Linked DNA regions of Caenorhabditis elegans. The protein of the gene in region 1 purifies or fractionates together with the protein of each later gene. This does not show direct contact. Each region holds a gene or a part of one and is shown in the gene's direction. Other genes may lie near its edges.

Region 1 (3,847 bases):
TTCGGATATCCGTCTGAATAGAATTGAAACTTTTGGAAAAAACAAAATTCGTTCACAAAACATCCATCTTTGTGACGTGATGTTTTATGTTTTCCCTCTGATTTCTTTCTATAAAAACCTTTACAACTCCACAAAGAACATCATTCACCAAGATGTTAGTTGTTCTTGCTATCTCTTTGGCAGTTACCGCAGTTTGTGCTCAATACGGATCAGGACCAGCCAATAATCCACCGGCTTCTTCCTATTCATCAAATGTTTACTATCCACCTCCGGTTTATGGATCAGTGTACTGGGATTACGATAGTGGAAGTCGTGAACATCGTCATAAACGTAAACCGTAGTCCATTAATAAATAAACATCTTACCAATTTCAGAGTGCCCACGTTTGAGAGCATATGTGGGTGAGTTCCCTGGTATCCCTGAGGAAGCATTCTATCCACCAATCATTCGATATGTCAAATACAACAGAAAAGTGACTGCTCTTGTTGTCTGTGATAGAGATGAAAAGAATTTGAACTTCCTTTTCGGTTAGTTATCTCGAACTATTCAAAGTAGATTAGTGATTGTATTTAACTATATCCAGCTCGTCACAACAAAACTCGTGATGTCCGTTCTGCCAGTGTTGTCGCTATTGGAAGCACCGCCGGTGTCACTCTCGTTTGTAATCGCGATGACAGAAGATATGAGGGATTTGTTATTGATATGAATGCAACTACAAACGGATTCTCTAAGAAAATCGAAATCACGCAACTCACTTGTCTTGGACTCGACAAAACTATTATTGGTCTTCCTGTGGAACACGGAGTACAACAACTGGCGCAAAAGATTCAGGAAATTTTGGAAGATGACTTCTTCGTTCCAGTTATTCCGTCGAGAAGGAAGAGACAAGCTGGTGGAGCAACTGCTAACAGCGCTGAATCCACGACTGAAGCAGCTGACACCGAATCCACAACTGAAGCCGCTGCCACCGAAACTCCTGCCGCCGAATCTACCACAACTGAAGCTTCCGCTACTGACGCTGCCGCCACCGAAGCTTCCGCTACCGATGCCGCCGCCACCGAAGGTGCTGTCACCAAAGCTGCTGCCGGAGTTACAGAAGAATCAGCTACGGAAGTGATCACTGTAGCAACAACACCAGCTTCACCAGATGCGGCGCTTAATAATGCTATTAACGAATTGGGAAAAATTCTCGGTCAAGTTTTCTAAATGCATTTCGATTTTAATTGTTTAATATGTCAATTGATTATTGAATAAAAGTCAATGAAAGCTAAAGTTATTTATACAATTTTCAGAGAATGTAAGAAAATTATAATATGACCACTAGAATCATTTAATATTCGGACCTAACTTCGTACCTAATTTTCGCCCGAAGGAAAAAATCTTGGTTAGGTAAAATATAATAGACCTTATATGTACTTGCGATCGCAGCAATAGCTTTTCCATTTTCACCAAAAGTTTTCTTGAAGATTATCAGCTTTTTAATGGTCGCCACCGGGGAAATGTTAAAAATGCCTCTTATAGTGCGAAACTGCCTAAAAGAGATAGAACAATAGTCTACATTTTTTTTGAATTCCCATTTTGCCACAAAGTTGCCTGAAAATTTTAAGTTAGCAAAACGATATTGAATAATTTTTAGGTAAAATCTACATATACTGAGAATTATGAACTTTTAACCGTTTCATTTTTGGACAAAATATGGTCGCGTTTAAAATTGAAAAATTAAAAATTAATATTCACAGCTATTATTATTTTAGATTTATTTGTAAATAATATGCAACGTTCTCATAAAATATTAAATCAATACGACTATATATTTTGCAGTCATTGATCACCTTTTAAAAGTTATCTTCAAAATGTTTCATGAAAATGTGATTGTTGTCTTCTTGTAGCCAAATGTTAAATTCACAGCTGTTTTTTTGAAGGAGGTCAACTCAGCCGACGAGCCATCGTCTTCTCTCCATTTTTGTCCTTCTAGGTAAACACGAGGCAAACCACAGTGGAGAACATAAGAACAGATAGACGATTGAAGAAAATTTCTTTTTCAAATGCGTTGACGGGTTTTTTCAAACTTTTTTGTTTTTCTCTCTCTCTCCAAATTCCGAACACAACTGTTAACCTGATAACGAATATTTAATTTCAGCCCAATGGGATGCATCTTGTCTTGTAAAGAAAAACCCAAAGCAAAGTTAAATCAAAACATAAACATACCAACGCAAATTCGGAGGACAGATACATTTCCACAAGAGATGGCAGAGATCAGAATGCAGGCCAAACACGTGCATTTTTCGGTTAGTTACTTTTATTGATTAGGATATCGGAAATAACACTTGTTTCAACTGTAGTAACTAGAAAGTAAGGAAAACGACTTTTTTCTATGATAAAATGTGATCGTTGTGTTTTGACCAAGGTGAATAGCATATCGATCAAATAACCATCTTGATGGAAGGCATAAATATCTTGTTTCTTTTCTTTTGATACGATTATACTTGAATCTCATTTTTATTTTACATACGACTCTTTTTTTATGCAACTTGATTTACGATTATTATAACCGCCGTTTGCAAATTTTGAACAACCGAGAAAGTGGGAAATTTATAATTTCAAAAAAATGTATTTGCTTACCGTCAAAAAGTTTCAAGAAGTTCTAGCAGAAAAATTTAGAAACATCTCATAAAATTTTATGTTGAACTTATTTTTTCATTCTTAATTTTAAAATGTGGTGATGGGTAAAATATGCGACAGTGTTTTTCCAAATTTCCTGAATTTTTTCATAATGATTTTTAACCTTTCTGGTATATTTTTAAAATATGCAAATAAAATCCCCACTTGTTTTATCTTCAGTCAAAACCAGAACCAAAGATTTGAAAATGATAGCGGCATTTCACAAAAATCAAAAACACCTGTAATTTTGCAAAAGTCTAAACTTTGATGCAACAAAAATCGCCTAACCATTGCTGGATAGCACTTATATTTCAGTGATTCATTGCAGAATGAAGCAGTTCTGATTCCAAATGAACGTCAGGGAGAATTGAAAATTGTGGAAATCCAGGAAGTTTGCACATTTCGAAGATGTTTAAAATGAAGTAGAAACTAATTATTTATGTTACCAATTTTTATGTGATTACTGTATGTATTAATATATATTGAAAATTATTTTATCAAGTTGCATTTAACAAAAAAAATGAGTACAATCATTCAATACGTATTTTACCAAATACTTTGCTGTGCTTGTGTTCCAACGGTTGTTCTCCATATTTGTTGAGAACCATTTGCAGTTCGTTTCGTACTGACGTGGAATATTTGGAAAGTTGCTTCACGATATGGAGTATGCACAAAAAGCATTGTCAGCGTTGATAGAATTCCATGAAGTGCAATTCCAAAAAGTGCAAAATTTGTGGCAGCTAAAAAATATCATTAAATCAGTTCAGTTTTGAGCGAAATCTTTCATACCCTGATTATAATAGTTGAACCAAATTGCCAAAACTATGTATAGAACGGGAAATGATAACACAAAAATTGGTATGAATACTTGAATGCATAAAGCAAAGAAAAATTGTTTTTGGAGGCGATTTGTAACCTGTGATTTTGAAACAGTGTGGTAGAGATACCAAAAAATAGAAAGAACAAAATATAAAGCTTGAGGAATGATGAGTGAAAACATGAAAATAAGGCAAAGGCAAGGAATTGTATTCACGATTGATAGTACAAAATAACCAGGTCGATTTATGACATCTTTTGGGATACATGGAATCTCCTGAAATATAATTGTTAGAATAAAACGTTGAATTAGCGGTTCAAAACTCTATCACTATAAATTGCATATAAAGTTTTTTGAACTCGATAGTTT
Region 2 (3,932 bases), on another chromosome or scaffold:
GAATATTCATGAGTGAATTATTAGTGAAAAGTTCATAAAATGATATCGAGGATCTACAAGTGTGCATTTTATTTTTGCAATTGGCACGTATAGATTTTCAATGTTTCCAGCTGCACCACGTCACTACATAATTAATATCATAGGTGCACACCAAAATACTACTCTCTCACGATAATTGTTTCGTTTTCTGAATTGAAATAGACAAGAATCAATACAAATATTTAAGTTTTATGAACGCTTAGTTTTCTAAATATGTATTGAACCAGCTCCAAAAAAGAGTGAGGCAAAAATAATCCTGAATTATTTTTGAAGCTGAAATAAGCTTGAAGGTCAAAAGGGAATCACCCAAAGATAAATGAGATAAGAGTTGCAATAGTTGAGTAATCGGATGCAAGAGTAACAGAGAAACTACAGTAAAAATAGTAAATTTTGATAGTTACACTAAAATAGACAAGAGTGTAGGAGAAGCCGTCAATCTCGGGAAACAAAGATCACACGAGTACTCCTTTTCTTGTCAATCACAACGGTCATCGGTCAAAATGTTCTCAACTTCCTTCACTTTCTCTCCGTCTCCACTGTCTTGATTACAAAGAAGAATGGCAATCCTAAAAAAGGAAATGAAGCTTCTCCGTGTCTATCGGCAATGCATCATCATCACCTTCCCGTTTTGTTTCACATTTAATCCTCCCACATGCTCCACTGCCAGTCAAAAATCAGAAGAAGGCACCACTGGTGGGATAATGCGTTGTGTATTTACGGTTTTGCAACGTACACAGTCTCATTCTCGGACAATTGCGGAAGGCAACGAAATAACCAAATAACCCGGCAAGAAACATATTGTGGAGGCGAGAAATGTGTGGAACATGCTTACGCATTGTTGAGCATCAAATGATCACTTTTTGCGCATCTTGGCAATGACCAACTTGACTTGTTTTTTTTTGTTTGATGGCAAGTGACGGACTTTGAAAATGAATAGGTTGGCATTTTTTGAAAGAGAAAAAATCAAATGAACAATATGCAATTTCATCAAAAGAAATATTGTTTTTCTGCAGGGTGTTGAATTATGAAGGTACGAAGAAACACTTTTAGACATTACCAAGTTGGAAAAACGGGATTTAAGTAATATTTCAAGTTCCTTACTACTTACAAGTGTTTCCCGTGATAAAGTTTTATTTGATAGTTACTTTGTAATATTCAAAGAAATTGTGTAACTGGAAAAGTTTCTGATACTTGAATTGTAAATATATTCACAAAAAAAAACATATTCAATTAAATCCAAAAACAAATTCAAATGATTTAAGCTCAGACATGATCAACTACGTTTTTTCCCTGAAGAATTGTCGAACACTTGGAACATAAAATGTATACTGAAAACTTTAAGATCCCTCATTCCGGCAATGAAGACCACCGGCAACTTTTTGATCTGTCTAAATACGCGTACATCCCTTGAGACAACTTTTTGAATGGATCAAAATACATAGAGATTCCCACCCTGTACAAACATCGTATTGAGCACTTTAGACACTTTTTTCAGGCCGTGTCAAGGATCCACCAAAAATCCAAAATCTAGTCGTCAATTTCCGTCGGTCCTCGGACGACGATCCGATGCAAAAAGTTGATCCGTTTTTTTGCGTCTCCTCCATTCTTCGTCTTCTTCCTGTAAATTCCTTCCTGGTGCATCGAGACGGAAAGGAGGAGCATCCTACAATTTTTTGCCGCCTGATGGCTACCGCCGCGGCAACATGACAGACGTATATAAGACAGTGGCGGAAGGAAGCGGAGCACCAAAAGAGCACCTCCCTCACTGTCGTCGGCCAGCAGTACCGCCGAGAGGAGTTCTACGAATAAACGATATGAAGACGAACATTATATTATTACTTATAGTTATTGGATCATACCTTGTGGATTCAGAACAGGTAATTTTTGATATATTAAAAATAAAATAAAATTATACCTCTAATATCTCTCATCCATTTTCCTTATTCTACAATCTCTTATTCAACTTTTGAAAACGTAGTCCAAAATCTTCCTATGAAACATTTTCTCCCAATATCACTGTTTTTTTTTTATTTTTCTAGTAAATTTTTATTTTTCCAGTAAAAATCAATGCAGAAACACCGTATTTCCTTTTTCAACTTTTACAATCCCTTGCTTAAATTATGTAGCTCATATTTTGGTTGTCTTTATTTTTTGTTAAAAATGTGCAATTTTTCAATTATTTTTCTATAGTTGTGTAATTAGTAGTTTACAGTAATTGAAAAATAATTACGTTAGTTTCCCTGATCATCCCAATTTATAGCTAAACACTACGCGCCTACAGTATTTTCATTGCACATCCATGACTCTTTATAATCTCTCGATCTTCGCAATATCTTGTATTTTGACCGACTGATGACCTGTCTCGGCAAAGTGTTCCAAGTCTCGCCATTCTCAAGTGAACCATATCATATTTCATGTCCATGAGAAGGGTTCCGCCTTTCTATGACATTTTCCCACATTCACACATACAAATAACACAAGAACAAATAAACCGGTGCCATGTCGCAAATTCAACAAACAATGACCTGTCGCTCACTTGATTATCACGTCTGACTCATGTTAATATCCCATACATTTTAGAGCTTGATTACACGAGCCAAGCGACAATGCCCGTGTGCGCAACTGTCACAAAAATCGAAATGCAATTGTTATCCGATTGGGAGTGGAATGCAACGATGCAAATGCTCAAATGAGCCACAATCAAGCGGATGTTCTTGTGCCAATAAGGCAAGTCTTTGTGGAATGGAATTGTAGTACAAGTCTGAAATTTCAGGCTCAAACATCGGTATGCCAACCATCATGTCAAAAGTCTTGTGTAGATTCTTGTGTAAGGAACTCCCATCAGCCACAGCTTCTTTGTGATAAGACATGTCAATTTACATGCAATAAGGCATGCACTCCATCTACATCAACGAGCTCATCGTCCAATTTTCCACCAATTAAGGCACTACTTTACCATTCTTTGAACCCAAATAAAATAATATAATTACAGGTAGTTGTAAACCAACAAACCAAGGCTTCTCAATGCCCACAAGCCTGTGCTCAATCATGTGCCAACAGTTGCACAGCTCAGCCAAATAAATCTTATTGCATTGATATGTGCATCAAATCTTGCCAACCAACATGCGTTCAAGCTGCTGTATCTATAAATGTCAAAGAATTCATGCGTACTTCGGTCTGAACGACCAATTTTCACAACCAAAAAAATATTCAATTTTTCAGACCACAACCTTAGCCCCATCAAGATCATGTGTCTCTGCTTGCCAACCAACATGTGACGCTCAGTGTATTAATGTCATGAAGCGGTATGAAGTGATTATTCAAAAGATGCCACTTGCCCAGAAATGTCCCTCCCAGTGTCAGCCAACCTGTTCTCCACAATGTATTCAATCGGTCACTGTTTCTATTCAAACTACAGCTCAACCAACAACAGCTTCCTGCATTCCGGCTTGTCAACCAGCGTGCACTCCACAATGTGTTCAAGCAGTTACCACGACAGAAACATGTATCCCGGCCTGCCAACCCGCTTGTCAACCACAATGTGTAGAGAGACAGCTTCAGATTCAGATCGTAACTTCTCAAGCAACACAAGCAACTCGTGCTCCTGAAACATGCATTCCAGCCTGTCAACCAGCTTGCCAGCCACAATGTGTTTATCAGTATCTTTCTTCGGGGTCTTCAGGCATTTCAACAGTTCCACCAGTAACCAAAGTGTGCATCTCAATCTGTCAACCAGCTTGTGATCCAGGATGTGTTGCTATTTACACGACGACTCCAGCCCCACTTCACTGCGTTTCTCAGTGTCAGCCAGCTTGTCTTCCATCTTGTACTGACACCTTTACTACAACTATCTCGCTTCCAAAACAATGCGTCCCAGAGTGTCAGCCAGCTTG

Evidence for each region.
Region 2: the proteins of D1054.19 (region 1) and appg-2 fractionate together in Caenorhabditis elegans (co-fractionation; one large-scale study listed by BioGRID). This does not show direct contact.

What each region holds. Positions count from the first base shown.
Region 1 is NC_003283.11:10,793,656-10,797,502, forward strand, and holds D1054.19 (Ragulator complex protein LAMTOR5), read left to right. Parts: upstream 1-2,138; 5' UTR 2,139-2,144; coding exon 2,145-2,288; intron 2,289-2,538; exon of another isoform or gene 2,539-2,583; intron 2,584-2,989; coding exon 2,990-3,082; 3' UTR 3,083-3,162; downstream 3,163-3,847. Other genes in the region: ule-3 (Uterine Lumin Expressed/locailized), read left to right, coding at 153-330, 375-527, 584-1,206; srh-184 (Serpentine Receptor, class H), read right to left, coding at 3,208-3,401, 3,451-3,754.
Region 2 is NC_003280.10:8,799,349-8,803,280, forward strand, and holds the start of appg-2 (Activated in Blocked Unfolded protein response), read left to right. Parts: upstream 1-1,781; 5' UTR 1,782-1,853; coding exon 1,854-1,916; intron 1,917-2,619; coding exon 2,620-2,766; intron 2,767-2,812; coding exon 2,813-2,983; intron 2,984-3,031; coding exon 3,032-3,214; intron 3,215-3,261; coding exon 3,262-3,932.